Rhinolophus ferrumequinum: one gene and its partners. The protein of the gene in region 4 interacts with the protein of the main gene of each other region in a pairwise test. Links are inferred from orthologs where the notes say so. Each region holds a gene or a part of one and is shown on either strand. Other genes may lie near its edges. The genes, in order: CTSB, LRFN1, WDR74 and RGS2.

Region 1 (7,561 bases), on a different chromosome or scaffold from region 4:
TTCCAGTACCCAGAAGAGCCCCTGTCCCGTAACAGATGATCCATTATGGGAACTGACTGGCCTTTGCTCCTTCATTGTTTTCTGCTCGCTACGCTTTTAAGACACGTATGGTCAGGAATGGTCCCAGTCAGCTTTTTCCCTGGGGTTTCCAAATAGCCTGCCTCTTCTGGGAAAGTCCAAAGCAGCCCTCTCTTCGAGGACAGTGTTATGGGATGAATGGCGTCTCCCTCCAAAATTCATGTTTCAAAGCCCTAACCCCTAGTACCTCAGAATGTGACTGTATTTGGAGTTAGGGCCTTTAAGTAGGTGATTATGTTAGATGAGGCTGTTAGGGTGGGCCCTAATGCAACTGGACGGGTGTCTTTGTAAGAAAAGAGACACCAGGATTAAAACACAAAAAGAGACACCAGGATTAAAACACAAAAAGAGACACCAGGAAGGAGCAGCTGGATGGCTCAGTTGGTTAGAGCGTGAGCTGTCAACAGCAAGGTTGCGGGTTCAATTCCCGGAAGGGGGGAGTGGGCTGCACCCCCTGCAACTAAAGATTGAAAATGGCGCCTGGACTTGGAGCTGAGCTGCTCCCTTTACAACTAGATTGAAGGACAATGACTTGGAGCTGATGGGCCCTGGAGAAACACACTGTTCCCCAATATTCCCCAATAAAATAAAATTAAAAGACAAAAAAGAGACACCAGGGATGTGTGCGCACAGAAAAAAAGAAGAAAGAAGGATATTTGAGCTGATCTTTGAAGAAAACGTTTTATGGAGTGGTTTTTAATTTACATTTTGCTTTTGTTTTGTGTGCTTCTAAGATCAGAGTTTTTACTCCAACATGATATTATGAAAATTTTCAAATATCACAAAGCTTGGGCAGCCCAATGACTCAATTGGTTAGAGTGCGAGCTCCAAACAACAGGGTTGCCTGTTCGATCTCCATATGGGCCAGAGAGCTGAGCCCTCCACAACTAGATTGAAGACAACAAGCTGCCCCTGAGCTTCCGGAGGGGCAGCCAGATGGCTCAGTTGGTTAGAGTGCGAGCTCTTAACACAAGGTTGCTGGTTCAATTCCTGCATGGGATGGTGGGCTGCAGCCCTTGCAACTAAGATTAAAAATGGCGACTGGACTTGGAGCTGAGCTGCACCTTCCACAGCTGGATTGAAGGACAACGACTTGGAGCTGATGGGCCCTGGAGAAACACACACTATTCCCCAATAAAAAAAATTTTTTAAAAATAAGTAAATAAATAAAATGTATATCAAAAAGCTGAAAGAATTTTCCAGTGAATATTAAAATGAATACTGGTATGCCCCCCACCTAGATTGTACCATTAATATTTTACTGTATTTGCTTTATTGCACATCTATTGCATCTATATGTCCCTCCCTCGCTTCCTCCATCCATCCATCCATCCATCAACTTAATGCATTTCAAAGTAAATTGCAGATATCTGTAACTTCCCTCTCAATATCCATATCATTAACCAGAATCCAGTACACTTGACCCTTGAACAACACAAGGGTTAGGGGTGCTGTCTCTTCACACAGTTGAAAATCCAAGCATAATTTTGACTACTCGTAACACATAGGTTGTATATTATTTGTATTACATACTGTTTTCTTAGAACAAACGAGAGAAAAGAAAATGTTGTTAAGAAAATCATAAGGAAGAGAAATTACATCAACAGTATTTATTTTAAAAAATCCACCTGTAAGTGATCCACAGAGTTCAAACCTGCATTGTTCATGAGTCAACTGTATTTGCCTACAGTGGTTTCTTTTGATGTTATATATATATATATATATATATATATATATACACACACAATGATGAAATCCACAAATCTGAAGTGTGCATTTGCAAAGCGTTGACAAAGATAAACACCTTGTAACTCAAACTCTTAGCAAATATAGAGCGTAATCCTCACTCCAGAAGGAACTCAAGCCTCTTTTCAGTCAATTCCACCCTCACATCCCCAGAGGCAACTATTACTGTGTTTCCCCGAAAATAAGATCAGGTCTTGTACCGTATTTCCCCGAAAATAAAACCGGGCCTTATAGTAATTTTTGCTCCGAAAGATGCATTAGGGCATATTTTCAGGGGATGTCTTATTTTTTCATGTACAACAATCTACATTTATTCAGATATAGTCATGTCATCTTCTTGAACATCATCGTAACGTACTAAATGTGTCCATCTGGCTGACAATCTTAACTGGGGATTATCTTCAAGGTAGGTCTTATTTTCGGGCAAACATGGTATTATAATTTTTGTTCCACTATACATCAGTTGTGCTTGTTCTAGAACTTCATTTAAATGGAATCGTATAGCATACATTCTGTTGCGTACAGTTTCTTTCACTCAGCATAATGTTTTTGAGACTCAACTTGTGGTGGTGTGTAGTGGTAATCTCATCCCTTTTTGTGTTTGGTAAGTATTTTTGAATATACCATGACTTGTTGATCCACCCTCCTGCAAATGGACACATGGTCTGTTTCCAGTTTGGGGCTATTATGAATAAAGCCACTGTGAACATTCTTGTACAAGTCTTTTTCTGGTCATCTATTTTCATTTCTGTTGAGTAAATACAAAAAAGTAGAATTTCAGGGTCATAGGGTAAGGGCACATTTAGTATTTAAAAAAAAAAAAAACTGCCAGAGTATTTCTTAAAACAAAGTAGCTGTACCCTTTCACTTTCCCACCTACGGTACCCGCCCGTTCTCAGGAATTTTTTTCGCTTTCCCATTCCGGAATCCCAAGATACAAACTGTTTTCTGTTCTCCACGATGAATCGTTTCCACAAAGTGATGGCCGATACTACCAACCACCTGGGTTCAAGGAGCCGATTTTCCCAATTTCCCCGACCAACTTTTCTCAGGATTTGGGAACGGAAAAGTGAAAAAATTTCTCAAGAACAGGCGGGAATTCCCGCCCGGGAACCCAACCACTAATAATATACAAGAATCACCATTGCTCCACATTCTTGCCAACATTTGGTGTGGTCAGTGTTTTTAATAAGTCCAAACCTTTCTATATTTCTGGCTCTGGGCGTGAGAAAACAGGAGGGCCTTTGTCATCACTAAGCGTGTACCTGTGGGTACTATGGTTGGTGCACACTGTACAGAAGCTAATGTACATTTATTCCTCATAACAACCTGTTTAGAGCCTGGGAGAAGTGAAGTAACTGTGGAACTAGGATTCAAACCCACGTTCTTCTGGCTCCATTTTCTTTTCACCTTGGCCTGAACTAGTGCAATAAGAGTGTGTTGAGAAGGGAGATTCCTGTGCAAGGGAGTGTCATCAAACTTTTGCCACTGGTCAGAGACCTCCAGGAAGCTCAGAAGATTTGGGTTCATGGTAGAATCTGGTGTTTCTGGCCCTATAGGTTTGGATGAATAGGGGACCGGGAATGGGGGGCCGGGGGGAGAAAAGAAATTGTCCAAACACTTGCTTCCTTCTACTTGCTAGAAGTTCAGGAGATCAATCTCCCAGACTTATAAAAGGGAGATTCTCCCTTGAAGGGAGAATGAGCAGCCCAAGGAGACATCCAAAAGGTTTTATCTGCTGCCCTAAGCTTCCTAGGGATGCTGGTTACAACTCAAATTCAATTACCATTCTGCTTGGCTTAAATAATATCCCCCAAATGGGCCGTCTGACTGAGTGGGAGCCGAGTCTGTCCCCCAGGGAGCATCAAGATTTAAAGGGCTGTGTCATTGCTGGGGTTTGGGATACACATGAAGAAGAAATGGAATGACTAAATAGAGCCCTATTTAATCCTCACAGCTGTATGAGGTCAATATAATTCATCTTCATTAGCTAGATGAAGAATCTGAAGAAGAGAGGGTTTACGTCACCTATCCAAAGTCACACAGTTCTATGTAGCAGATTCCAATCTCTGTCCACTTCCTAATGGAAAAGATTGATGCAGGGGCTGTAGGATCACAGGGTTAGAGTTGGATACTGAGAGATCTTCACTCTTAAGGTCCTTCTCTATAGAAATCCTGATGCAGCTCCAGCAATTAGTACTTAGTGGTATTAATTACCGTTTTCATTATTACATAGTTGGAGTATCTATCTCATAGGCACGTTCTCAGAATATTAATGCTAAAAGAGCCTTTGAACGCTCTTCTGGGAGTCCTGCTCTCTTGATACCCCCAACTCTGGCGATGTTTCCTGAATGAATGAAATACGGGTCAGTTATCCCCTCCCCCAAGCAGGGATCCATCCGGCTTTGCTCTGCATTCAGGCTGAGGCGTCCCCAGGGGAGTTTTTCTAGGCTGGGTGGAGACCCTTAGGGCCACCTTCAGCTCCCTACCGCTCCCCACAGGCCTCAATCCGGAGGGTTAGAGGCCGGTGGGGCTCAGAGCCCCTTTTCCGGGGCCAGCGCACCCACCCCCAACGGGATCTCCAGGAGCTGACAAAGGCGGGAGGCGCGCAGGGGTGACGGCGCTGGAGTGGAGTGGGGGTGCTGCCAGCAGGAGGAGCAGGGGGTGGGGGTAGGGGTGCCGGGCTCGCCGGGGAGTCGGAGGTGGGGCCGCGTGTTCGCAGCGATCACGTGATGAGTCAGCCGGGCTCGGGGCGTGGCCGAGCGCGGTAAATAGGAGTGGGGGCGACCCCGGGAAGCGACGGCGGCGGCTCTGGCTCCGGCACTGGCACCGAAGGCATCCCCCAGCAGCAGGCCCAGACTCTCGGCGGCCGAACTCGGTGAGTGCAGGCGGGTGGCGGGCCGGGCGACCGCGCAGCACCACCGCGGCGGAAGTGACCTTGGTTGGGGTGATGAGACTGGGGCCCTGTGCGCCCCCCCGCCAGGCCCAGATGCTGTCCAGCGGCGTCCCCGGGCGCCGGCGGGATAAGGCGACCCTCCGGTTGTTACAGCCGGGCCAGCAGGGGTGGCAGCCGCGCACTCCGAAAAGTCGCCGTGGTGAAAAAAGCGAAAACAACCCTCAAGCGGGCAGCCGGGCTCCCAACCCCCACTCCGGCCGGGAAGCTTGCGCCTGCAAGTCCTCACTCGAGGGCTGTGTTCATGCCCAGGGCAGGGTCAGCTTGACCCCACGATACGCCTGTCCCCAGGGCCTGCCTGGTAGGTCGCCCAGGAGGAACGGGGGAGTTTTCGGGGAAGGTCCGAGGGAGGAGCCTGCAAGGAATGGCTTGGTCCTGATCCCAGTGACTTTTGGCCAGTATCTGGCTCCTCGGCCCCTTCTCGGCTTCTGGGCCTCAGTTTCCGCAAAAAAAAAACACAAAAAAAACTGCTGAGATAATAGTATCTACATGCATCTATTTTAGGTGTTTTCTTATTCTAAAGGGTTTGCCTGGGCAGCTTTGTGCACACAATTACGCACAATTCTAGGGACCCCAGAAGACAGAAACCAGAAAACAGGAACCTTGAACTGGGTGGAATAGGGTGGAACCCACATGAAGAGTTAAATCCAAAGATGAGAGGAGAAACTAAGCAGAGAGGGGCAGAAACTAAGCAGAGAGGGGCGTGTGAGGCCGTATAGGGCCCAATCCTCCTCGCTGGGGTGGGGGAGAAGAAGAAGAATGCCCTCCCTACTCCTTGACTGCTGTGGAGAAGAGACAGTGCGGAGGCCCAGGGAGGTGTGGGACAGGGGAAAGCAGGTGGGAGTATCTGGGCATCACCTCTTCCCTCCTGTGGGAGGAGCATTTAGGGAGCACTATAGAGTAACTGAGTTTGAGAGGCTCAGCTGGCAGGCAGTCCAGGTAAATCTGAGGTGGATTTGCCTTCTTAGTGGGCCTAGGTCAACCCCTTCTCTGCTGACAGACAAAGGGAGAAAAGCCCAGGCTCCATAAGTCTCTACCTGAGCAGGTAGAAACCCTCACCCAGTGGGAGGGGAGGTGGTAGGTTCAAAGGGAGGCCTAGCACCTTTTGTTACCTTGGGAAACCTGATCCCCAAGTGCCTCCACCCCAGGTGAATACCGCTGAGATGCATTCATCTAAATGAATCTATCAGCGCAGATTGAGAAGGTGAAAGGTTTAGAAGGGTGTCTGACTTGGCCAAGCCTCCTTCCCTTTCTTAACATAATGTCCTTTCCTTCATGGAGAATTGTTTCCTCTTGGCACTAGACCCAGGGACCTTGAGCTTCAGAAAGGGACTGGGCTATCCCCACCCTGTGTGTCTTTCCCAAAGAGACAGGTTGAAGGTGTTCTGAAGAAAGGTTCTGCTGAAACCTTTTTAGGGCATTTGTCCCAGAGCTGGGGCACTGCCCAGTGGAAAGGTGCAGATGCCTCATCCAGGGGCTTCACAGACCCAGTGAGCGGAACACAGGCCAGACACAGCCAGGCTCCAGTAACTCCCTTGAGGTTGGGTCAGAACAACCCTGTTTTCTAACTGGTCAGACGGTGAGAGTGGAAGCGTTTTTGGCTCCAGGAAAAACCTGCCCATGTGCCACTGGTTCAGCAACTTGCACCAAGATCCTTCCTCTAGACTGGTTCTTCCCCCCATTGCTATACTAGAGTGATGGAGTAGGAAGTTGCCCACATGTAAGGGATGAGAGAGATTTTGTGTTACTATTGGCAGCTGGACTGAGAAGTGAAGGGAGAGCACAGAGGAGCCTTGAAATGTTTGTCGGGTGATTTTCTTAAATGAGTGGTGGTTGTGTAGACTATCCCTGCCCTTGGGAGAGAAGGACTGAAATATTTCGGGGTGAGGACTCATAAGGTCTGCCGCTTATTTTTGATAATTTGGTATAAACAAAGTATCAAAAATATGGGAGGTTGAGCTATATGAAATGGGAGTTTGTGAACGTCATGAAAGATGGAAATCACTCGTTTTCATAGGGTCCAACCTCAGGTGCAGAGGAATGGTAGGGATTGACAATAAGCTGCTGGATGAGTTGAGGCACATACAGGTGTGGATTGTACTCACCGGATACTGGGAGGCAGCAGTCTACGCCTGGTCCCATATCTTCATCTCTCTCTTGTCTCATCCTCTATACAAACTCCATGAGCTGCCTAAGAAAGGGAGGGAAATCCTGAGTCCTTCCATGTCTGTTACTCAGACTCCACCCTAGTTTGGATAGGGCAGGGGATGTAGGGATCAAACACCATTACATATTTAGACTTAACCATTCCAGTTTGTAACCTCAGGCCTCATCCGCATTACCTCTCCACAGCACCAGGGGCCTCCATGTCTCAGGCTTGCGTAGGGTTCGCAGGGTGAGTGCATTCCCTCTTGGTCACAGCTCCCCTTTGCAGGGAGCAGGTTTTTCTTTGCTCTGCAAGTCCATTACCACTACTGTGCCTGCTTGGAGTCTTCCTGATGGACGTTGTAGTTCCTTTCTGCTCTTCTCTGTATAATTCTCCTGCACTCTTTTTTGTAGTTTTAATACTTTGTATCAATCCGTGAGCAGTGTTACTAAAATTGGTAACCTTTAATTATGTTGCGTGTATCCTTTTCCGGGGGTGTTTATGAGTTATTTATGTTGATACATACAGATCTAGTTAATTCATCTTAAATACAGTGTATTTGTCTACTGAGGGACAGTTAGGTTGGTTTTGCTTTTTCACTGTTGCTCACAGCACTGCAGTAAGTATCTTTGTAGCTC
Region 2 (7,864 bases), on a different chromosome or scaffold from region 4:
CGGAAACAATGGCACTGTGACCTTGGGCCTGGGCTGCCTCTCCCCCAGCCCTGGCATTCCTGGGGGAGGGTCCACAGCCCAGCTCTAACCCTCCCCCAGCCCTCCCAGCTGAAACACAGCATCCTCTCACCACCCCACTCTGCCCATCCCCAATCAGGACAAGCCCTTGCATGAGGGATTCAGGATAGAATCATTCTACATCGGGAATAGAGAAATTCCCCCGGGGCGGGGGCGGGGGGGGGGTTGAGTTGAGCTCCTCTCTGCTGACACCTGTCCTAGTGTCCCCACCATCTCTCTGCCAGGCATATCTCCAACCCCGCGCCCCTCACCCACCCGTCGTAGCCTGAGCCCTGATGGCTAGAGATGGAAGAGGAGGATGGGCTGGGGATAGGAGAGGTCATTCAATTAACAGGTCAAGCAATTCCTCACCTGCAAGGGTCAGAGAGGTAAAAGGACTTGTCCAAGGTCATGCACTCACATGATCAAATTAATAATAATAGCTAACTCTCTGATTGAGGGCTTCCTACGTGCCAGGTACTTCTATAAGCACTTTACAGGTATTAACTCATTTAATACCCCATGAAGAAGATGCCATTATAATCCCCAATTTACAGATGAAGAAACTGAGGCCCAGAAGCTAAAAATGGTTCCCTGAAGTCCCACAGCTAGGGTCTGTACAGTTACAACTTTAACCCAAGGCTATCCTGTGGCCAATGGCCACTCCCTCTCTTAGGCATGGGATTTAGGGAACCATCTCCTCCTCTTCCTCTCCCTCCTCTCCCTCCTCCATTTCTCCTCCTGCCCAATTGTTGAACTTCTGTCTGCATCCAGGCTTATGGTTGCAAACAATCCAATTAGAAAGAGGCATGTACAAGGATTTACCCAACCAGGAGAAGGGAGTTTGGAAAGCAGGGACCAATCAGAGAGAGTGACTCTGAGGGGCAGCCCAATACACAGTAGGTTTGGCTAGAGGGATTATGGAGGGACCAATCAGCGAAGCCAGAACAGAATACATTATCCAATGAAGAGTCAGCACAATGGGGTGTGGCTTTGGATTTGAGGCCACTCCTTAGAGGGGTGGTACAAACTAGGGACCACCTCCTCTCTTTCCCCCAACCTCCTCTCTGGGCTGGAACAGATCCAAGCTCCCTAATTTTTTTTTTTTTTTTTTCCTATGGAGGGCGAAGCTCACAGTGGCCCATGCGGGGATCTAACCTGCAAGCTTGGTGTTATCAGCATTAGGCTCTAACTAACTGAGCTAACCGGCCACCCCAAAGACCCCTAATTTTTGAATCCCAGCCCTTCGCTTTCCCTGGGGCACTTCTCCCTGCTAACCTAGAATGTAAGCAGGGCTTAAATTGGAGAGGTGGAGACTGGATTTTAGGGGGAGCTGAGAATGAAGGACTCAGAGTAGGCATGACGGGCCAGCCATTCCGTAGGCTGAAAACTATATGCTTATGGAGTGGAGCCTAAGATAGAGGAGTGGGGCTGGGGCTGAGGAGTGGGGCTGAGACTTGCCCCTGGGGGCAGAGGCTGAGGGAGTCTGAACAACTATTATATACTCTAGGGTGGTGTCTAAGGGGAGGTGCTCAGGCTTGGGGGTGGGTCCTACACTTGGGCTTTGCTTAAGTCAGATAAAGCTGGGGTTTTGCTTTAGGGCAGAGCTTTAGAGACAGAGGGTGGGACCTAAGTTGTGGAAGAATGAGGGTGGTTTGGGGTAGGAATTAGGCCCCTAGGAAAACAATCACATTATAGACTTACGGCTGTTGTCCTCTTTTTCAGGCCAACTCACATTTCCCTAGCTGCTGGGGTGTGCCCTTTCCCTTTTAGGGACCCTAGACTGGGAGATGGTGTTTATTCCTGGGTATGGCCTCTGCAGGGAGTCTGCAGCAGACCTAGCTCTAGGTCCTCTCCCAAGAAGCATTCAAGAACACATGTTTACGGGTGCTAATTGGCCTTCTGGACACTGGAGAAGATTGATGCCTCTGCCACTGCCCTCAGGAGGCTTACATTTCAATGACTAGACAATAAGCAATAAACAAATAAGTAAACAAATAAGCAAACAAGATCATTATTAAGAATGACAAATGCTATGAAGGAAATAAAATGAGGTGATATGCTAGAAGTGATGGGACCTGTTTGGGCCATTTTTTTGTTGCCTCTTTAGTCTAGAAGAGTCCTCCAGCTTTTTTTTTTTTTTTACTCCCAACATTTATTATGAAAAATTTCAAACATGCAGCAAAGTTGAAATAATTTTCCAGTGAACACCCATCTACCCACCATCTACATACAATCATTCACATTTTACTGCACTTGCTTTATCACATATCCATCCAACTATCCATCCATCAACTTATTTTTTTTATGTATTTGCAAGTAATTTGCAGACATCAGGACCATTGGTGGGGGTGGGGGTGTCAATTGGAGAATGGGAAAGGAAGGCTTCTCTGAAGAGGTTACATTTGAATTAAGACTTGTATGAAAAGAAGGAATCAGCCATGGAAGCGGAAAAACTGCCAAGGCCCAGGGGCTGGGATGAGCTGGAACAGAAAAGTCATCGAGGCCAGAAGACAAGAGTGACCAGGGATTAGGCCAAGAGCTCGCAGGGCCAGATATGCTCTGTGAGTGAGGCCGCCTCTGCCTGGGTGCAGGCTCTTTGTTTCTCCATCTCTGTATATCTCTGCCTCTCTTATTATTATCTTTCTCTTATTATCTTTCTCCTCATCCTCTCCTTTTCCACTCTGGTCCTTCCCAGGCCTGACCTCACCCTCTTTCCCCTTCACCTCCACTTTCCCCTCTATTCTATTCTGCCACTTACGATCTGTGATCTTAAACAAGTAACTAAAGCTTTCTGTGGCTCAATTTGCCTCATCTGTAAAATGGGGATAGTGATGACACCTCCTCATCTGGCTGCTGTGAAGAGTGAATGGAGTTATCTACGTGAAGCTGTAGAACCTTTTCTGACACAAACAATGCTGGACATGTGTCCACTTTTGCTGTTATTGTTCTCCCACTTCTGTTTTCCTAGCTCTGGACCTCCATGCTCTGGCAGGGAACACCAGGAACCAGGGTGGGAGGTGGTGGTAACAGTGGTGGTAATGGTGGAATCTGGAGACTGGGGGTGGGGGGATTGTGAGTGTCCCCGGAGGGTATCTAATGGTTGTGAGTGGGGTCAAGTTTCACTTAGAGGGAGGCTGTGCAGAGATACCCTTGATCTGAGGGACAGGGCAGTCTTCGTGTGATGACAGCAAGGGAGAATTTAGGGAAGGGGTTTGGGGGAGGACCTTGATACAGTGGGATCCAAAATTGAAAGGGCTTAGGCATCCAGGGATCTGGGGGACTGCCATAAGACAGATTTTGAAGTGAGGCTTTACTGGGTTTGGGGGCCCAGTGAATATCTCAGAAAGAGGTGAAGAGTGGCCTGGGATACTCAGTGGGATTTTTTTTTTTATTTTGTTTTTTGTTTTATTTAGTTTTATTTTTGTTTTAAATATAGATTGTTGTACATGAAAAAATACTCAGTGGGATTTGAGAGAGGGGTAGGGGGTCATTGGGTAGGAGTTGGGCAAAGGCATCTGAACAAGGAAGGAACAAGGAATCCTGGACACCACCCAATTCACAGGGAAGGGGGGAGGGTCTACAGGGTCCAAGAGAGAATAGGAACAGGGAGGAAGCAGGAGCCTCACAACGGTAGGACTAGTGGGGAGGATGGGAAAGAATCTGGGGCAAATCTGGGAGTTTGGAAACCAAGAGGTTCCTTTGAGGGGAGGATGTCTGGGTTTAATGGGGGTAATGGGAAAGTTTAGGGTCTCCCCATGGGGACAAGAGACATATTTGGGACTCTTAGAATTTAGACATGGTCACAGGTCCCCAATGGGAGTCAGGGAATTGTTTGAGGTCTTAGAGGGTGGAAGAAAGAAGTGGGAAATGGTCTGTGGTCCTGGGTGGCTGTAGAACATGGTCTGGGTCCCCAAAAGAAGTAAGGCATAATCTGGGTCTCCCCGGGTGTTGACATATGGTCTGGATCATCTCTGGGATGTTGGGGTATGGTCTGGGGTCCGTGACGGATTGGGTGTGGTCTGGGGCCCACCCGCATGTTGGTGTATGATTTAGTGTCCCTGATAGGGGTTCTCTGGATTCCCTTGGATGTTGAGATATATAGTATGGGGTCCCTCTGGATTTGAGGGCATGTCTGGTGTTCCTGATAGGGTGTGGGGCAGAGTCTGAGGTCACCAAGGAGAGTAAGACGTGGTTTGTGGTCCTGGGTGGCTGTAGAACATGTTCTGGGTCCTCAAAGGAGGTAAGGCATGGTCTGAGGTCCCTCTGGGTATTGGGACATGATCCGCGGTCTCTATTGGAAGATCCCGGGTCCCTATGCTAGTCGGGGCGTGGTCTGGGGGTCTCTTGGGAAGACTGCGAGGCTGGAGGTGGGGCTGGGGAGAGGTCGGGGGCGGGCCCGCGGCTCCGCAGTGGAAGGGGGTCTGCGACGGCCCCGGGGCGGGGGTCTGGGGTGTGCAGCCGCCGCGCAGCCCGCCCGCCCCCTCCGGTTGGAGCCCCCTCCCCCTTGCGGCGGTGGTGGCGGCGGGCTCCGGCGGCAGGCGGCGCGGAGGGCGGAGCTCGGCAGCGGCTCCGGAGGGAGGGCGGGAGGCGGGAGGGAGGCGGCCCCGCGGCACCGCGCCCCCTCCCCTGGCCCTCCCCCACCATGGCGCGGAGCGAGGCGGCGGCGGCGGGGCCGGGCCCGGGGCCCCCCCGGGGCTGGGTGAGCGCGGCCCGCAGCGGCCCGGGAGGAGGCGGGCGGGGGTGCCGGTGTGAGCGCGGGTGTGAGCGCGCGAGCGTGTGAGTGTGTGTCCGCGGCGCTGCGGCGGGCCCGGCGTGCGCTCGCGCGGCCCTGTGTGTGCCCGGCGCCGGCGTGTGCGGCGCCTGCTTGTGTGGCCATCCGGGTGTGTGCCGAGGTGCTGGGTCCAGCCGTGCCTGTGTCCCCCAGAGTGGCTGCCCCTCCGAGTGGCTGCCCCTTCGACTGTGTGTCTGGGGGGCTGTCGCGTGCCCATCGGAGGGGCTGTGTGCAGGTGTGTGTGCGTGGGTTGTGTGCCCAGGTGTGGGTCCCCCCCAGCCAGTGTGTGAGCGCGGCTAGCTGCGTGGGGGGTTTGTGTCCCGGCTGGATGTCCATCTGAGGGTCTGTGTAGCCGGGTGTGCCTGCTTGGGTGTCCATTTGTGTGTGTGTGCGCGCGCGCGCGTGTGTGTCTGCGGGTTGTATGCTCCGAGGGTGTGTGTCTGTGTGACCACGTCAGGTTCCCGGCCGGGGGCTGAGGCTCAGCGCCTTGTGTGTCCAGGCCTCTGTGTGGGTTTGGCGGAGGGGAGTTTGCTGTTCCCTCGGTCCATGTTAACTGGATGGGGGGCCCCTCAGCGGTCCTCGGGGGAGACGGCCATGTCTTCCCCTTCCCGGTGGCTGGGTGGGGGGGATGGGCAGCCGGTAGGTGGACAGATGGAGGGATGAGAGGCCTAGGGTTGGACAGATGGGCCCGAGGGGAGGCACGCAGACCCGGCCTTTCCCCACCCACCCCACTCCAATGTCCCCACCGGCCAGATCTCTGCAATGGGGCCAGAGTTGCCTGCATCTAGATGGTCAGGCTGGGGGACCTTTGGGCTGCTGGTGGGAGGATCGCCTTGGAGTAGTGCTGTAGGACTCAGCCCCCCAACCCTCTGAGATTCGACCTGCTGAACTCTGACCTCTCGCCCTGGCTTGTGCTCTGGTGAGGGGGCCTATGGTAAAAGGAGGGATGTTAGGATTTCTTTGGCCAGCTATGTAGGTGGGGCCAGGGTGCCTCCGGGCTGGGAGGGTATGTCCATGCCTGCGTGTGAGTGTGAATCTGTGCCTATCTGTTGACTATGTCTGTGGTTCAATATTTTGTGTGCATTTGTAAGTGTGCAAATCCCTTACAGGGCTGTTGTGTGAGCATGTGTCTGTTATGAGTGAACATCTCAGAGTGTCTGTGCAAAGGTGGATTTTTTTGTACCTGTGTGTTTGAGTGTATCAGTCTTGTAAAGAAAGTATCTGTATACGCTTGTGGTTCTGTGTATGTGTGTGAAGTGTGTATCAGCTAGTGTGTGCATTTGTGCATCTGTTGGTGTCGGAATGTATCAGCTTTGTGATTGTGCATCATGAGGATATGTGAAGTTGTCTGAGTGTGTTTGGGCATTTAAGAGTATGCACCTGTGTATCTTTGATTGTGAGAGTGTGTTATATGTGTGTGTCCCTGTGTGTTGGTGTGTGCAAGGGTATCTCTGTTATAGGTGCATATACCTGGTTGTCTGCAAGGGGGCACATGTGTTTGTTGTGTGTGTGCATCTATGTGTGTGAATGTGCAAGGAAGTCAGTGTTGTACATGTATGGATGTATGCTGGTGTGTCAACCTTGAGGGTATGTGTCTGTCTATGTTGTGAGTCCATTTATGCATCAGTGTTGATCTCTTGGGAGTGGTGTTATATGTGTTCAAAAACATATATGCAGGGTTGTATGCACAGACGTGCCTGTGTCCCCAGAACAAGGCTGACCTTGCTTCTGGGCCCAGTGAGATTGGGGCCCATTTGGCGTGACCTATAGTATGCCGAGACCAGTCTGGGGTCCATGGACACAAGTGTGTCCACATCCCAGGCGTAGAGTCAGTGGAGGGTGGGGGGTACAGAGCTCATGCTGGTGTGTCCATGGAAATCCAGATGTAGAGACTTGGGTTGGAAGTCCACGTGTGTTTTGGCGTGTCCACACATGTTGGTGTGATAGTGGTGTGATGGCAAGCTTGGGAACCTCTGGTCCTTCCCCAGCCCTCAGATCTTTGAAGTTGGGGCACTGGAATGTGAACTCTGGAAGGAGGAGGCTGGGAGCCTAGAATCCTGGATATGAAGGAGAAGGAAGCTGGGGTGGGGTCCAATTCTTGGGTCTTGAGAAAGGAGGGGACTGAGACCTGGACTCTTGAGTCTGAGGGAGGGGGGAGGAGGGTCCCAGACTCTAGGGTCTTGAGGGAGGAGGGGGCTGGAGTGACTAGTCTCTTGAGACACTAGAGGACGAAGGGCTAACGTCCTGGACTTGTGGCTTTTGGAGGGTGAACAGTCCTGAGGCCCAGACTCCTCAGTTTCCAGAGATGACTTCTTGGGTCCATCTGAGATTATGCAGAGCCTCCAGCAGGAGGGCTTAAAAGAGGGAACACACCAGGGACTGCCTTGGCTGAGATGGTCTCCGAGGTAGGTCTCCAGAGAGGAGCCAGAGGATGCTAACAAAACTGTCGTTTTGTTACTTTGCAGGTACTGGCCCAGGCCCTGACTCCCTGAAGAGAGGTGAGTGGGAAACCTCCAGCTGGGGATAGAGACATGGAGTGGTCGGGCTGGTTCTGAGCCCACTGGAAGCCGGGAGCCCTGCCTTGTATGGATTTCAGTGTAGGGTATGGCAGTGTCCTGAGGGGCCAGGTGTCCTACAGGCTGGGGGTGGTGACAAAGTCATGAGCAGCATGTTTGGGTAAGGGCTCATAGCAGAGCCAGGACATGGGGAGGCAGGTGGCAGTGTCAGGCCTGGAGGCATCCTCTCTCAGGATGGGCAGGTAGTTGGGAAAGGGGAGTTTCCTCGGGATATCAGTAAAGGGTCCAAGTGAATTTTATAACATGAAATGATTCTTGCATTTGGAGAGTGGCATGGATGTGGTTTACCATTTTGTGTGTGTATGTGCATGTATGTGGGAAGTCCAGCCTGCTGAGTCCAGCCTCTGGCTGAGAGAGAGCCAGAGAAAAACATAATGACGATGATAATAACGAAAATAATAATAATAATCGCAGCTGACATTTATGTAGTGTTTACTCTGTCAGGAACTATTCTAAT
Region 3 (7,313 bases), on a different chromosome or scaffold from region 4:
AAGGGACTCTTAAGAATCCCACCAGAAATTGTATGCAAACCTGTGTGAGACAAATATGTGTTTATTTGGGGAAAGTTTTCAACAGATTCTCAAAAGGGTTGGGGGATGCAACAAAAATTACAAACCTCTTCAAGTTGACTAGCCATTTCTTCGACGTGCTTTATCTTGTGTTGGTTTTTAAGTTTATAGCATCGTCCTCAAGAACACAAAAAAATAGGAAGTCAAAAATTGTTCAATCGATTTATAAATATGGAAGAAAGTACCATTAAAAATAAAAAGTGTTTAAAGAGTTAACAGAAGAGTGTAAAATGGGGATAGTTGCTATAAACCTTTGAATACTACTTGTTGATTGATATGAATTTCATTAAAATAAAACATTAAATTACAAAAATTAAATGTACCCATGGAAAGAACATTCTTGCCTTGGCCTCGCTTTGCCTGTCACCAAAGCCAGTGTTTCTCTGAACTCTTCCACTTATCTCCATCTCTGCTACCACAGCCCCCTTTGTCTCCCACCTGGAGGATCACAGGAGCCTTCTCCCAGTTTTCCCCAGTAGACTATAAAGGTCATGAAGTCAAGGTCCATGTCTCATTTTTTTTTTGTGGCCATAGATAACTGCTCAATAAGCATAAACAAATGCATTTCCAAGTTCTCGTGGAGCCCTCATATCAGCCTCCCGCACCCACGCAGGAAGAGGCAGAGGTAACAGTAGAACAAGAGTGAAGGAGCCAATCCCCACTTGCCTTTGCTTCAAAGCAGGAACAGTCAACTGCTGACTGCACAGACCTACCAAGAGATGGGGTGCTTGGCTGTAGCCTGGGCAGGACTGAAGCCAAGCCAGGGGGCTGTGGCTTGCACTAGGTTGGGTCTTGCAGAATTTGGAGAAGGTTGGGATTGAAAGAAACTGAATTTTGCTTTTGCGCTTGTATTAGTTTTGTATTGCTGTTATAACAAATTACCACAAACTCAGTGGCTTAAACAAAACAAATTGATCTTATGCTTCTGGAGGTCAGAAGTCCAAAACGAGTCTCAACGGGCTAAAATCAAGCTGTGGCAGCAGGGCTGCCTTCCTTTCTGGAGGCTCTACGGGAGAATCATTTACTTGCCTTTTCCAGCTTCCAGAGGTCATCTTATGTGACCCCCTTCCATCTTCAAAGCCAGCAAAGGGTCATCAAATTCTTCTCATGCTTCATCATTCTGACACCAAGTCTGCTGCCTCCTTCTGTCCCGTATAAGGACCTTTGCAATGACACCAGAGGGGCCCACCAAATCCAGGATAATCTCTTCTTCTCAAAATCCTTAATTTAATCATATCTGCAAAGTACCTTTTGTCATGTAAGATAACATATTTAGAGGCTCTGAGAATTAGGACATAGGTGTCTTTGTGGGGGGCATTATTCTGGTAACCACATCCCCCAATTCAGCTCTTCCCTGGAGGCTCTGGTTTGCTTATGGGAAACTGTGGAAACTGCTTCTGTTTATTAACATCAGGGACACAGTGCTGAGAACCTTGACCTTGTTCTATTATGTCACAGATTATCAGTAAACCTTGCTAGTTGAAAGCATATCGGTGAGAATGAAGCGACCTAACTCTTGCCTTAAGGATCTAACTTTGACGCAGAGACACGGCCTTCAGCCAGCTATAGAGCTTCAATTAAGGAGGTTTCCAACAGAATATTCCACATTTATGTTAATATAGTTTCCAAGGAAACAGGACCTCAAGTCCCTTACAGCCAGGGCCTGATATCCCTTTCATACAGCCAGGCTTTGCTTTGAGTCGATAAATGAACTGCTCATTTAAATTTTCCCTACACTGGGCTTCACCATCTCTTTCCCACCGCGGGACGCCGAGTTTAGGAATCAGGAACCTCCGAAGAAACGTCTTTCTCAGGGTATCTTTTCCCCTCTGTGAAGGGTCCACGGTGGGTGATGGATGGTACAAACGGCAAGGTAGAAGCGAGTTGGGGGTGAATGTGACAAGTCTGGGAGGAGGCACAAAAGGGAGCCAGAAGCCTCAGGATGCGAGGGGAATGGAATCCTAAAGGCCAACCTTCACTGAGTGTCCTGCTCTAACAACCGCCCCATTTAACAGGGGGCAGGAGCCTACGCAACATGCCTCAATTCATCAAATCAGAAACTGGCTAGCAGGAATCCCAATGTAGAAATTTGGATTCCAAAACCTGTGCCCCGGAACCGCGGACTCTCCAAATGCCGTGTTTCCCGGAAAATAAGACCTAGCTGGTCGATCTGCTCTAATGCATCTTTTGAAGCAAAATTTAATATAAGACCGGGTATTGTATTGCATTATATTATATATTAATTTTTGCTCCAAAAGACACATTAGAACTGATTGTTCGGCTAGGTCTTATATTTGGGGTAACACGGTGTGTTCCGGCGCCGGCGCCGCCACCCGCCCCACCCTCAACTGACTAACGGAGCGGTCGCCCCCATGGCGTGCCTAAAAGCCTTCAGAGACATGCCACAGTCTGGGAGAAAGAAATCAAGCGGGCATTGAAACGTGGGCATTGACTTGTATGTGGACCAATCCCAAGAATGTATAAAAGCAGAGGGGCGGGTTCATGCAAAACACGTCGAACAGTGAGCTGACAGACGAAGCGGTAAAGGACCTTATTTAAGGTCTGTTTCAAAAAAGTTACTATAATTATGAATAAAAATAATAATAAATTAAGTTTAAGAAAGGTTGTGTGTTGGAAAAAAACTAATAGTTATGCCGTTAAAGTCACCACAATTGTAAAAGCTACAGAAAGGATAAGGTAGGCTGGGAGGTGAAAAACAAAGGCATCGCTTCTCGGCCTTTTGGCTAAGATCAAGTGTAGTATCTGTTCTTATCAGTTTAATATCTGATACGTCCTCTATCCGAGGACAATATATTAAATGGATTTTTGGAATTAGGAGATGGAATAGGAGCTTGCTCCGTCCACTCCACGCATCGACCTGGTATTGCAGTACTTCCAGGAACGGTGCACCCCTTTTAAGGGGAACTTATCTCGGTTTGAAAATAAGATAATGCTCGGTTTTACGAATAGTTGCTATTGCAGTTCAATTTAAATGAGGTTTTAGAAACTTCAGTTAGTTTAACCACGGGTTTTTTTTTGTTGTTTTTATATTGTAAAGTGGGTGTGTGTGTGCGCGCGCGCGGGGCGGGGTTTGGAGGAAAGCACTAAATTGGTGTTTCCCAGCCGATACAATATTTTGCCTTTTAGCTCTTCTGATGCATTCTTAAAAACAGGAAAATTGACTACGATAATTTTTTTTTTTTTTTTAGATCTGTATTGGAATAGCAGCTTCGTTTCCTCCTTATTTATTAGAAACGCTTTACTGGTTTTTAGATTTTTTTATCCTGTGTACGGGAGAGGTCTTTCTTAAGGGTTCAGTTTGGCTTCATATTAAGTGGCAGACTGTTAGTTTAACCTCATCAGCGTTAAACCCCAGCTGTGTCCCCGACTTGTATTACAATGAGGAAAGACCGGCACAACAGAGGAATGGTTGGATGTCTTAAAAAAAAGTTACAGGATTTTAAGGAAAGATGGAGTTCAGGTTTAATTTAGTTTAAATTGTGTTCTGATAGGTTCAATAAAAAGGGCTGTGTGCAAAGAGATCAACATCAGGCCTGCACTCCGAAGGGTGCTCTTTCTTTGGTAATACAAAAATAAGTGTGGAATGTTATGCTCAGAACTCTATTGCCAGGCTTGCAGCTGCTCTGAAAACATAGCTGCTTCTCCGTGGAGGACTTAGGTCTGCCAGGCAAGAGTGGGATACTTTATTCTTACTGATATAATTTCAAACAGCAAAGTTTCTGATAGTCTCTGATTTCATAAGAACAAAATTTCTCAGAAAACAGTCAAAGAAGGAAGCCGTTGACATTTTAATTATGACATTTTAAAGTTGCAGCTTTTGTTTCTGTTACCTGCAGATTTTTACTTTCAGTTTGTGTTCATTTTTACCATCACCAAACCTCAATGTGAAGAAATAAAAACGACACCCCTACTTCCACCTTTCCAAAACAGATACCTGTTTTAAAGATTCTCGGTTTTATTTTCTCCGTCTTTCTTCGTTTTGTGCCTTTTATACTCTAGGTTGAAGCCATGCGCCACAACAGTGATTTGAATCGATTCTGAAGTGGTCTCTTGTCTTGTACAGAAAACAAAACATGATGCTTTGCAGCAGGGAGACGTACTAAGGCTGGCTTGACCCGGCATCTCGGTCTACCCAGGATGCGTTCCACTCCAAGTGTAAAATGGTCCAGTTAAGTCTTCAGATCCCCACAATTATCTCCAGAAATCGTTATCGTAAAGAAAAACAAACTGGAGCAGGCGAGTGATCGCTACTCTCCTCGCTCTTTAAACTCCCAGAATCAGCGTTGGTCCGGATCCACCTTTGCGCGCGCGGGTGACGCAGACGCTGCGCCGGAAGTGCGGCTGTCGGCTGCCAGACTTCGGTATGGCGGCTGCGGGGGCTCGCTGGAACCATGTGTGGATCGGCACGGAGACTGGGATCCTGAAAGGTGGGTGGCAGGAGCGGGCGCCGGGAAGTGGGTAGGTCTCCAGCTGGCGACCCCGGTGCGACTGACTCCCGCGTCCCGTAGGGGTGAACCTTCAACGCAAACAGGCGGCGAATTTCACGGCGGCGGGACAACCGCGACGCGAGGAGGCGGTCAGCACCCTGTGCTGGGGCGCTGGAGGTGAGACACAGGTGAGCGGCCGCTTGCTGGGACGGAGCTGGGGTACGGTAGCCTCGCTGTCCTTACCATTCTGCACTCCTCTACCTGCAGATCCTGGTGGGCTGTGCCGACTGGACAGTGAGGCACTTCAGCACCGAGGAGGGCAGATTTCAGGGCCAGAGGCACTGCCCCGGAGGGGAGGGCACGTTCCGAGGCCTTGCCCAGGTCGACGGGTAAGACCGAGTCCCTCGCTGAGCCCCTCAACAGAGAGCGATGAGGCTTCCGCAGGACCGCCGAATAATGATCAGCCCTTAGATGACACAGGTCTGGGCTGGGTGACGGACCTGTGTCCTGCCTTCTTTCGTTCATTCCTATAACAAGCATTTATTGGACACCTACTGAGTTTCAGGCATTGGGCGAAATGCAAGGGCTGCAGGTACACCAGACACACACAGTACCTACTTTCATCCTCCAGGGATTTTCTCGTTTCCATAATTTTTTGAGTGACCCTGAGCAAGTCATTTAATAGTTAAGAGGATGTTTTTAAACGGGGCTAACAACCACCAACAAGGTGATGAAGGTCCCAAAGTAAAGGATAGGAAAGTGGTGTCTTGGGTTAGGTTACCGGCCCAGCTTTCTTCCAAAGATGGAGAGAGGAGGTTGTGAACAGGCTGTGTGTGTTTGGTAGTAATAATTCTGACAGGCGAGGTCTAGGAGGCTCTGTGTGGGTGAGATGTTTGAAGTGAACCTTGAAGGATTGGTAGAATTTGGGCAGGTGGAGAAAGGGGTAAGGGCATTCTGGGAAGAGGCTACTGCCTTGGCAGAGGCCAAGGATTGATGTCTCACTACAGGGTACCTTTCAGGGGCGATCAGTAGTATTTGGGGGTTGAAGCTGAGGAAGCGTTTTAATACAAGATAGGCAGGGTAGGTTGGGTTTCATTGTAAAGGGCTTTAAATGCCAGGCTGAGAGATTTGTACATTTGTAGGTGGTGGGGGTTACTGGTTTTTGAGAGGACAGTGCTGTGGTCAGAGCTGTGAGCCTGTAAGAGTGTGGAGGATAAATTGGAGAGGAAGCAGTTCAGAGACTGTTGCCATAATCCAGGGAAGTGATACAGACCCTGAACCAAGGTGGGAGGGTGAGCAAATGTGAGAAGGACCATAGGTTCGGGCTGTACAGCTCCTGGGGAGAGACTTGCTTGGGCTTTGTGGGAGGGGTACTTTGAGGGAGAGATCGACATTTAGCGTCTGGAACCCAGAACATGGAACTCAAAAGAAGCTGGTGTCTGACTTTGGCCAAACCCTAAATCCAAACCAGTCCCATTTCAGTCCTTTCAGAGTTATTGATTCTGACTCCCTGGTGTCTGACTCAAGAGTCAGAAAGACCTGTGGGGCCGGGTGACCCCAGATGGAGCTGTGGAATACAAAGGCATTCTCTGCTTTGGAGTATCACAGACTTGATTTCCAGCTCTGGTTCTGACATTCACAGCTCAGTGGGCAAATCTTTTAATTGCTCAGAGCTTGTTTCCTCACTTATAAAACTGGTAAAGCCTCCCTCTGTTGAGGAAATTAAACAACGGGAAGCTGGAAGCTGCCAAGCCCTGTCCAGACCAGAGTTGCCTAGAGGCTTCCTTAGGAACAGGCCTGTAGGAATTTAGTTTAGTTAATTTGGGGGTGGGTTGAAGGGAGCCTAGAGGATACTTTCACTTTTTTTTTTTTTAACTAAGTCTATCTTCCCTCTGCAGCACCCTCATCACATGTGTGGATTCTGGGATTCTTCGAGTCTGGGGTGACAATGACAAGGAGACATCCTCCGGCCCAGTGAGGCTCCCCTGCCCTGATCCCTGTGGTTGGGGAAGGAGGGGGCCAGGGTGGGAGCTGAATGAAAGCTTTGGGGGAAGAGGATTAAGGACTCTGGAACTGACTCTCATCCCTCATCTCATCTCCCATTCTTTTCAGCTCCTGGAACTGAGGGTGGGCCCTGGGGTGTGTAGGATGCGCCAAGACCCAGTGCACCCCCACGTAGTTGCCACGGGTGGGAAAGAGAATGCTTTGAAGGTGTGGGACCTGCAGGGGTCTGAGGAGCCTGTGTTCAGAGCCAAGAATGTGAGTGATGGGTGGGGAGGGGCTGGGTCTGAGGTCCAGGGAACTGAGGCCATTATGAGTCAGAGACCATGGCTTTAGGGGTGATGGAGGGCCGAAGGAAGGGACACATTGAGCACCCCACAACCCTGCCCCCCATCTACCCACCCCACCAGGTACGGAATGACTGGCTTGACCTGCGAGTTCCCATCTGGGACCAGGACATACAGTTCCTCCCTGAGTCACAGAAGCTTGTCACCTGTACAGGGTACCATCAGGTGAGAGACCACCCCATCCCTACCTCCTGGCTTAACCTCCCAACCTGGAGGATCGCTTCCCTCATCCCTGTCCATTTATGCTCCTAACGGCTCTCCCCCAACCCCCTAACACTCAGAAGAGGGATATATTTCAAATGAGAAAGTTTCTCTAAGAGTGGGTTATAAACAGCAAAGCAGTATATGAAGGGGGTGTTGAAGACGTGGGGAAGCCATAGGGGGGTATGTGGAGTGAGGGTACCCTGTGATACCGCAGTCTTCCTCCAGGTCCGTGTCT
Region 4 (7,266 bases):
CTGTCTTTGGAGGTTGAGAATGGTATGGGGTCTCGAGCCAAGCCGTTAGCTGAGCACCTAAGACTTGACTACTTACAATGCGACAATTATGTCAAGGCCTGCTAGTGTCTTCTTGAAAGCATTGTCCTTTCCCCAGTTTTGTTAAGATTTGGGAATTGGTGTTTGTTTAAAATTAAAAAAAAAAAATGTGTCTGGGAGAGAACATCCACAAGGCTTTAGGTTCTTATGAAGTAGTCCGTGGATCAAAGACCTTTGAAAATCAATGTCTAAAATGGATTAGTACTCTCTACATAGGAATGGTAGGTAAACTGGAAATACCAGTGCAAAGAGATTCCTTATTTACTAGAAGAAAAGCAGCCCTTCTTCAAACTTAAAAGAAAAAAAAAAAACGACAGACTCTCAGTGAGTGATATACATGTATAGACCTTTGGAAATCTTGTATATCATGAAGCCAATATCCCAAAATTCCCAAAAAGGGAGTCAACAGGACATTTGGCACCGTAATGATTTGACAAAATTCTGTGCACAGAACCTAAAATCCCAGGCAGAAGAAATTCCTTGCTTCTCTTCTGCGTTTTATACCTGCAATGTGCCTCCAGGTAACTTATTTTATAAGAAAGCATTTCTAATTACCTGCTCACCCCTGAGATTCTGTGTAGTCTACTGTCGCAGGTGAGCAGCCACTGGCATATGCTGGGCACAGTCTCCCCAGCGTAGATTGCACCCTTATGGTCCTGTAACTGCAGAAACCTATTACAGGAGTTTCAATATATGTTAGTATTTGTATTTGGGGAAAAACAAAAAAGTTGTGATGCGCCTGCTGTCGGTTTTCAAACAGAACCCAGATGCTTCAGTAAGGTCAGGACTCTGACCTTGAAGTGGCCCTGCCTGCATTTGAAGGGTGACCTACTCCACACTATGGATGAATTTAAGGCAGAACCACAGATGTGCTCTCCCAGGAATAAACCACACAAACACTGGGAAAATTATTAACTCCTCTATCATACGTGTCAGGTATTAGGTTGAAACTCTGATTCATTCCTGACAAAAGCACTCACCTTTTTTCTCTTATCAGCTTCTGGGGATGCCAATTACATTCTAAGAAAGATAGTAATTATGATTTTTAAATTTCAGATCCTATCACGGATGAAGAGTGGCATACAGAATCGTGTATACATTCATTCTGTTAAAAGTCTATTTCACCAACTAAAATTCAATAAGACGAAGAAGGCAAAGGAGAAAAGAAAAACAGAGAAACAAGACAAGTGTTATACTTCTTCAAACGTGGTCAACAATTAGGGTATTTACAGTCTTCATTTTTTCCAATTACTCATCAGCCCCTTTGCCACGTGGTATTTAATTTCCTGGTTTTTTGTTTGTTTGTTTGCTTTTCCTGTTTGAAAACTAACTACCAATTTAAGATTTAGGAAGTAAGCAATAGGTTTACAGCTCTTACAAATTTAGGAACGAAGATATCACTGACCAAAACAAGCAAAGCACAGAGAAATACACAGAATGATCCTTTTGTGGGGTTTTTATGAAGCATATATCTTGTTTTCTAAATTTCTAAAGCGTAAGTATGAAACAGTTTTAGCTAATAATACTGATTTTTGATTAAGAAGAGCTAGCATGCAGGGGGAGGGGAAGAATCACAGCAGGGGAGACTTTAGCTTTTCATATTCTCCCTTTGGCATGACCAGAAACTTGTCTTACTTTATTTGCCTTCTTCTGCAACTTATTTTTTTATTATTATTTTTTTTAATGCAAAAAGTTCAAGAACTATCCTGAGAACCTCCATCCATCACTAACGTGTTCAGAGAGCCTCTCCAGTAGAGGGCATGACAGATTCAACATAGAGAACATATAGTCAGTTTACCAAGCCGCTCTCAAGCTGTGGTTTTGCTATGTAATATTCACAACCTATTGTATTGTTTCTTTCTTCACCACAGAATGGAAAATATGTGTCATTTTGATATTGAGCAATCCCCTTTACCTAAAAGCCAGTTGCAACAAAAAAAAAAACAAAGGGAAGTCATCAAACACTGTAGTTTTCGCTTTAAATATAGGTCTGCTTGTCTTTAAAAAACACAGTAGCATGGCAATCTTTTCACCAAAATGTTTCTTAGTCTGTAGAGGAGACTGGCTTAACTCTTAAAATTGCCCATAGACAAAGAAATGTTAAATTACATGCAAATTTATCAATCAACCTCATAATTTTCAGGAAAAAAAATTAATTTTCTGCCACATAACACCAGTTGTCAATCAGAAATGGTTTATGAAAAACCAAATCATTATCATTATATTAAACACTTACTGAACCATCTAGAATATATTTAAACTAGTGGCTTCCATGTATACATATACTCATATACGTATATTTACATTTGTGAGTATATTGAGATGACTGAATTTTCTGACTTGGAGATTTCTGAAAAGTTTAAATGTCAAACAGTTCGCTTATTTTCCGTATTGCTTATTATCCAGAGAGCATTTACTAAGTATCTATGAGCTGGAAACTACAATTCTTTGTGACATTATCTTTCTCTTTTAATAGTACTTATACATTTATAAACTAATTAACTCTTTGAGTTAATCCTTTAATGATTTTTCTACCTTGAGTAGCTATGCTTCCAGATACTTCTTTTTTCTTACATAGGCGAATTAATAACAAGCGTTTGTATAGTATTTTAGAACTTGCAAAGGCTTTTCACATAAGGGCCACATGATATATAATGAGGTTGGCAAGAAAGATATGTTACTCTTGGTACAAATAAGAAACTGGGGCTCAAGGGGCTGTGATGGGATTGTCCCAATGGTTACTTAGCATGTACTATCTAAGCTGAGATTCTAATTGGCGCCCGTGACACAGCCCAGCTCTCTCTCCTAACCGCTTCTTTGTCAGAACACCTGGCCTTTCCATTATTAGAGTTATACTGTTCAATGTTCCAAGTGAAAAATACATTGAGGCGTTTATTGTCAAGAAAAAGCAAGTGTATGCACATTACCCATATTTAATAAACATTGAAACATCGAAGTAAAACTAGATGTAGGAAATATTCAGCAGTGTTCTTCTAGAGATGAAGAGCATATGCATGACAAAAATGACAATTTTACATTTCACAAACATGTTTTAAAGTATTTATTACTGAAATCTAAATGATTTTTCTTTTCAAAATAAGGTACATGGCTTTCATCTTCAGTAATAATTGCAGATCTTATCCTCCATTTCAAACTTGGAGCTCCAACTATGGGCAGTTCACTGTAAGAATCTGTTAAACCAGTTCCAATTTTCTTTTTACAGTTCTAAGGCAAAGTAGGGAGAATATTTGCAGCCTCGTCAATACCTTGCGGTTAAGCTTACTGCCTACTTAGATGCTTGAGGGGGGATGCACTTGAAAATCCCCGTGTTCGATTCTAATGAAAATCTGAAATCCAAGCATTTTGTACGTGAGGTTCTCTCTTTGGCCTTACCAGTCCAATCACTCAAAGCCTGCTACAGCAGACATGGCTTCTGAAGAAATAACAAATTAAATGTATTCAAGCACACTGTTAGCCTCTCCTCTTCGTCCTGCTCTCTCGCCAGTTCTTCGGTGTTCTAGCAAATCGTAAGACAGCCACAAATGAGTGACAAGGAACCCCAGCATCTTTGCCCTCTTAAACGAGAATGATTCTGGTGCATTACAGCTGCCGAGGTCATGGTGTCTCCCTGTACCTCATCATCACATGGGTGATTTCTGTTCTGGAAAGAGAGGCAGCCAAGGATTCCTGAGGAGTCAGCATACAGTCGCACGAACTGTCACGTATCTAGTGGTGATCACGAAGGCACCCCTAGCTAGTAGAGCACTGTCGTCTAATCCAGTCACTTTCTCCTGTTCCTTTCCTAATGTGCATTCCAACAGGGTTCCAAGATGCCTTTGGGGGTCAGCCCAAGCAAGCATGGCAGGATTGGAGCGGGCCCACACCCCCGCCCGGCCTCCACGCCTGGCCAAGGTCGCCGGCGACTGCTCAAAGCCAATGGTCTCTGCCAGCCTCACACCGCCCAGGCCGGCCGCCACATTCCGCCCCAATGCGCCACAAGCCGGGGCTGCAGACGTCAGCAGCGCCCTGGCTTCCAGACCTTTCTGCGGGGACCGTGGCCGCTGCAGGGCCGCTGCAGACCCGCCCCCGGGCCCATCCGCAGCCGCCCAATAGGCGCCCTCGGGGGGCGGGCCCGGCGTCGTGTGGCCACGCCCCCATCCTCTTCGTCCTATAAATACCGCAGCGCCTCTCCAGCTGCAACCAGCGGCTGCACCGGAGGCTGGATGATAATGCAAAGTGCCATGTTCCTGGCTGTCCAGCACGACTGCGGATCTATGGACAAGAGCTCCAGCAGCGGACCCAAAAGCGAGGAGAAGCGAGAAAAAATGAAGCGGACGCTGTGAGTACGGCGTTCTTCTCTCCCCAGCCACCCTTGCAGACCTAGCTCTCTGGGTTTGCTGCAAACGCGGGGCTTTGGCACTCGTCTTAAACAATAGGAAGCAATGTAGCCTGCGCCTCTGCAGGGGGAAAAATGTAGAAAAGCTTCATTTGCTAAGTAAGATTAAATCTGTGTGGTCGGTAGTTTCCGCGAGTGAAGGAATGTCGGGTAGAGTTTAGGAGCTGAAGAAAATTCTTGATCTAGAGGCGGCGGTAGATGCGCTGAGAAAATCGCGGTTGGGTTTTTGTCCCCCTGCATTTAAGTTGACAGCAGAGAATCCCGGGCTGAAGGGCGTCCCCATCATTCATACGCTGCATTTTCACTTCTGATCAGTTTCCACAGACAGCTCTACAGGGTTGGAGGGATTTTTTTTTGCTCGTTCGGATATGCCTTTTAAATCCACGTTTTACTTTTAATGTTATGATTTAATTGATCATGCGCTTACATGAATGTTGTAGTCAGGAGGTGGGTGGTTCCATCACACACAGCCCTCCTGGTACACAGCTTCTGGCTGGTCCAGAACCTCAGCTCCAAGGGCTGAAGGGAAGTGAGCACGGACTGGCTCCAGGCAGCTCCACTGTCCGTTTCACCAAGTGTGAAATGCCTTCGGATTGTAATGAACGTTGCAGAAAAACTGCTGCCTTTTGCGGGCTAGAAATAGCATCTGCCTTTTGAACTATATGCAAACTAAATTCATTACACTATGCTAGTCATTTCAGGTAATCCTTCCCTTAGTTATAAAACCTAGTAGTTATGTGCAGATGAATGGGTGAAACTAATTGTGTTCAATACATAAGTGTAGCGATTAAATGTTAAATGTGTCAGAGTGACTTGAAGAGTTCTTGTTTTGTCTTATTTGGTTTTGTCTGTATTTACTGGGCGACTTTGGTAAAAATGCCATCAGCTGCTGTAGCAATGTCAAATGTTGCCACTTAGTGAATCTTTTTTTCCCCCCCTTTTCTTTTTAGATTAAAAGATTGGAAGACCCGTTTGAGCTATTTCTTGCAACATTCCTCCTCTCCTGGAAAGCCCAAAAACGGCAAGAAAAGCAAACAGCAAACCTTCATCAAGTAAGTTGAAAATCTTGTTCTTGCAAATTTGACGAGCTAGCTGTTGAGCGGAAAAGGGAACTCTGAAGATCTCCAAGAGTAAGCTGATGTGCACCCTTTCTCTTGCAGGCCTTCTCCTGAGGAAGCCCAGCTGTGGTCAGAGGCTTTCGATGAGCTGCTGGCCAGTAAATGTAAGTTACCTTCTTGAATTTAATCCCTTTCAAGCATCACTGGAGTCTGGAAAGGTTCTGTGCACACTGCACAAGAGCAGCTTGCCAGATGCCATTTGACTTGACAGTCATCGTGACACTCGCCTTTATGCCCCAGTGTCTACCCATGGAAGTGCATGCTTTGTTCAGGGGGGAAAAGAAAACTTAACCTAAAAAAAATTAGAGTGGTGGTTGCTCTTGGTTAACATTGAGTCAACTTTTCCATTGCATACAAGGTTTTCAAGAGGCTTAGCTCCCAGAGAATTTAGGGCTCCCCTATGAATATTTCCACTGATGGCAAAGTTAAGTATTTATATCTTTGTAGCAGTGTGCCAGCTGAAGCATTTTGTCTACTGGCATCTTAGTCTTTAAAGAGCTCAATTCTGAGGATTACAGGTTTGAGTGATATCGAGGAATTTACTATCATCTCTAAATAAGAAAACACAGAGGCAAGGGAGTGGGAGTTATAGGAAAACATGTAAGGGATTATTTGGTCATTCCATTCACAATCTGAATGTTTTCTTCTCCCTCTCTCCCCCTTCAGATGGTCTTGCTGCATTCAGGGCTTTTTTAAAATCTGAATTCTGTGAAGAAAATATTGAATTCTGGCTGGCTTGTGAAGACTTCAAAAAAACGAAATCACCCCAAAAGCTGTCCTCGAAGGCCAGGAAAATATATACTGACTTCATAGAAAAAGAAGCTCCAAAAGAGGTAAGAAAAATAAGTTCTTATTTTCAGCATGTTTTGAACATTGTTAGCTCCAAAGCGAAACAAAAGACTTGAAGTCAAACTAAAAGGGCTTGGGAGTGGGGGGAGTGTTTTTTTCTCTTACCTTAGCTTTCAGTTAAGTTGATTAAGTTTCTTCAATGACTTGGCTGGTGAAGCTAATCATGCATTATAGTTTTTAGTTTTTGTTGGCAAATATTAAATACACAGTCTTAAATCTCTGACTCTGAATATAGAATAAACCACTTTTTGTGTTTTATTTCAGATAAACATAGACTTTCAAACCAAAACTCTAATTGCTCAAAATATACAAGAGGCTACAAGTGGCTGCTTTACGACCGCCCAGAAAAGGGTATACAGCCTGATGGAGAACAACTCTTATCCCCGTTTCTTGGAGTCGGAATTCTACCAGGACTTGTGTAAAAAGCCACAGATTCCCACGGAGCCACACGCTACATGAGATGCACACAGGACCCCCAACGTGGAGGACATTTCATTTTTTCCTAAGGGAGAAAGGCTGACCTGCCCAAAAGACTGCCCTTGAGTTCAGCCTGGGTGCTGGGGAAACATCACTCAGAACTGTTGATTCGAAGTTGGGTAGTGAGCAGGGAAGCCCGTCGCCGTCCAGAAGCAGCATGTGTCGGGATGGCCTCCATGACTGCAGGCACACAGAGAGAACGTGGTCTGAGCATGGTGTGTCTCCCACCGTAAAAGCAGGGATGTGAGACTGAAACAGACGGTGTAATACTCTCGATCCAAAAGCATTTTTACCATCAGTAGGTCTGGGATTATGTGGCCTTAGCAGCTGGATGTACATCTTTCCCCC

Evidence for each region.
Region 1: the proteins of RGS2 (region 4) and CTSB interact in a two-hybrid assay, tested with the Homo sapiens proteins (2 studies listed by BioGRID and IntAct). The link is inferred for Rhinolophus ferrumequinum from reciprocal best matches to the Homo sapiens genes RGS2 and CTSB.
Region 2: the proteins of RGS2 (region 4) and LRFN1 interact in a two-hybrid assay, tested with the Homo sapiens proteins (2 studies listed by BioGRID and IntAct). The link is inferred for Rhinolophus ferrumequinum from reciprocal best matches to the Homo sapiens genes RGS2 and LRFN1.
Region 3: the proteins of RGS2 (region 4) and WDR74 interact in a two-hybrid assay, tested with the Homo sapiens proteins (2 studies listed by BioGRID and IntAct). The link is inferred for Rhinolophus ferrumequinum from reciprocal best matches to the Homo sapiens genes RGS2 and WDR74.

What each region holds. Positions count from the first base shown.
Region 1 is NC_046301.1:31,907,025-31,914,585, reverse strand, and holds the start of CTSB (cathepsin B), read left to right. Parts: upstream 1-4,551; 5' UTR 4,552-4,702; intron 4,703-7,561. UniProt on the Homo sapiens protein: Thiol protease which is believed to participate in intracellular degradation and turnover of proteins. Cleaves matrix extracellular phosphoglycoprotein MEPE. Involved in the solubilization of cross-linked TG/thyroglobulin in the thyroid follicle lumen.
Region 2 is NC_046298.1:38,500,423-38,508,286, reverse strand, and holds the start of LRFN1 (leucine-rich repeat and fibronectin type III domain-containing protein 1), read left to right. Parts: upstream 1-4,863; 5' UTR 4,864-5,066; intron 5,067-5,605; exon of another isoform or gene 5,606-5,750; intron 5,751-7,296; 5' UTR 7,297-7,329; intron 7,330-7,864. UniProt on the Homo sapiens protein: Promotes neurite outgrowth in hippocampal neurons. Involved in the regulation and maintenance of excitatory synapses. Induces the clustering of excitatory postsynaptic proteins, including DLG4, DLGAP1, GRIA1 and GRIN1.
Region 3 is NC_046294.1:8,014,848-8,022,160, forward strand, and holds the start of WDR74 (WD repeat-containing protein 74), read left to right. Parts: upstream 1-4,308; 5' UTR 4,309-4,374; coding exon of another isoform or gene 4,375-4,462; coding exon 4,463-4,526; intron 4,527-4,607; coding exon 4,608-4,714; intron 4,715-4,793; coding exon 4,794-4,915; intron 4,916-6,424; coding exon 6,425-6,500; intron 6,501-6,638; coding exon 6,639-6,785; intron 6,786-6,937; coding exon 6,938-7,039; intron 7,040-7,303; coding exon 7,304-7,313. UniProt on the Homo sapiens protein: Regulatory protein of the MTREX-exosome complex involved in the synthesis of the 60S ribosomal subunit. Participates in an early cleavage of the pre-rRNA processing pathway in cooperation with NVL.
Region 4 is NC_046310.1:5,165,065-5,172,330, reverse strand, and holds the start of RGS2 (regulator of G-protein signaling 2), read left to right. Parts: upstream 1-4,257; 5' UTR 4,258-4,301; coding exon 4,302-4,417; intron 4,418-5,424; coding exon 5,425-5,526; intron 5,527-5,634; coding exon 5,635-5,696; intron 5,697-6,258; coding exon 6,259-6,425; intron 6,426-6,705; coding exon 6,706-6,900; 3' UTR 6,901-7,266. UniProt on the Homo sapiens protein: Regulates G protein-coupled receptor signaling cascades. Inhibits signal transduction by increasing the GTPase activity of G protein alpha subunits, thereby driving them into their inactive GDP-bound form.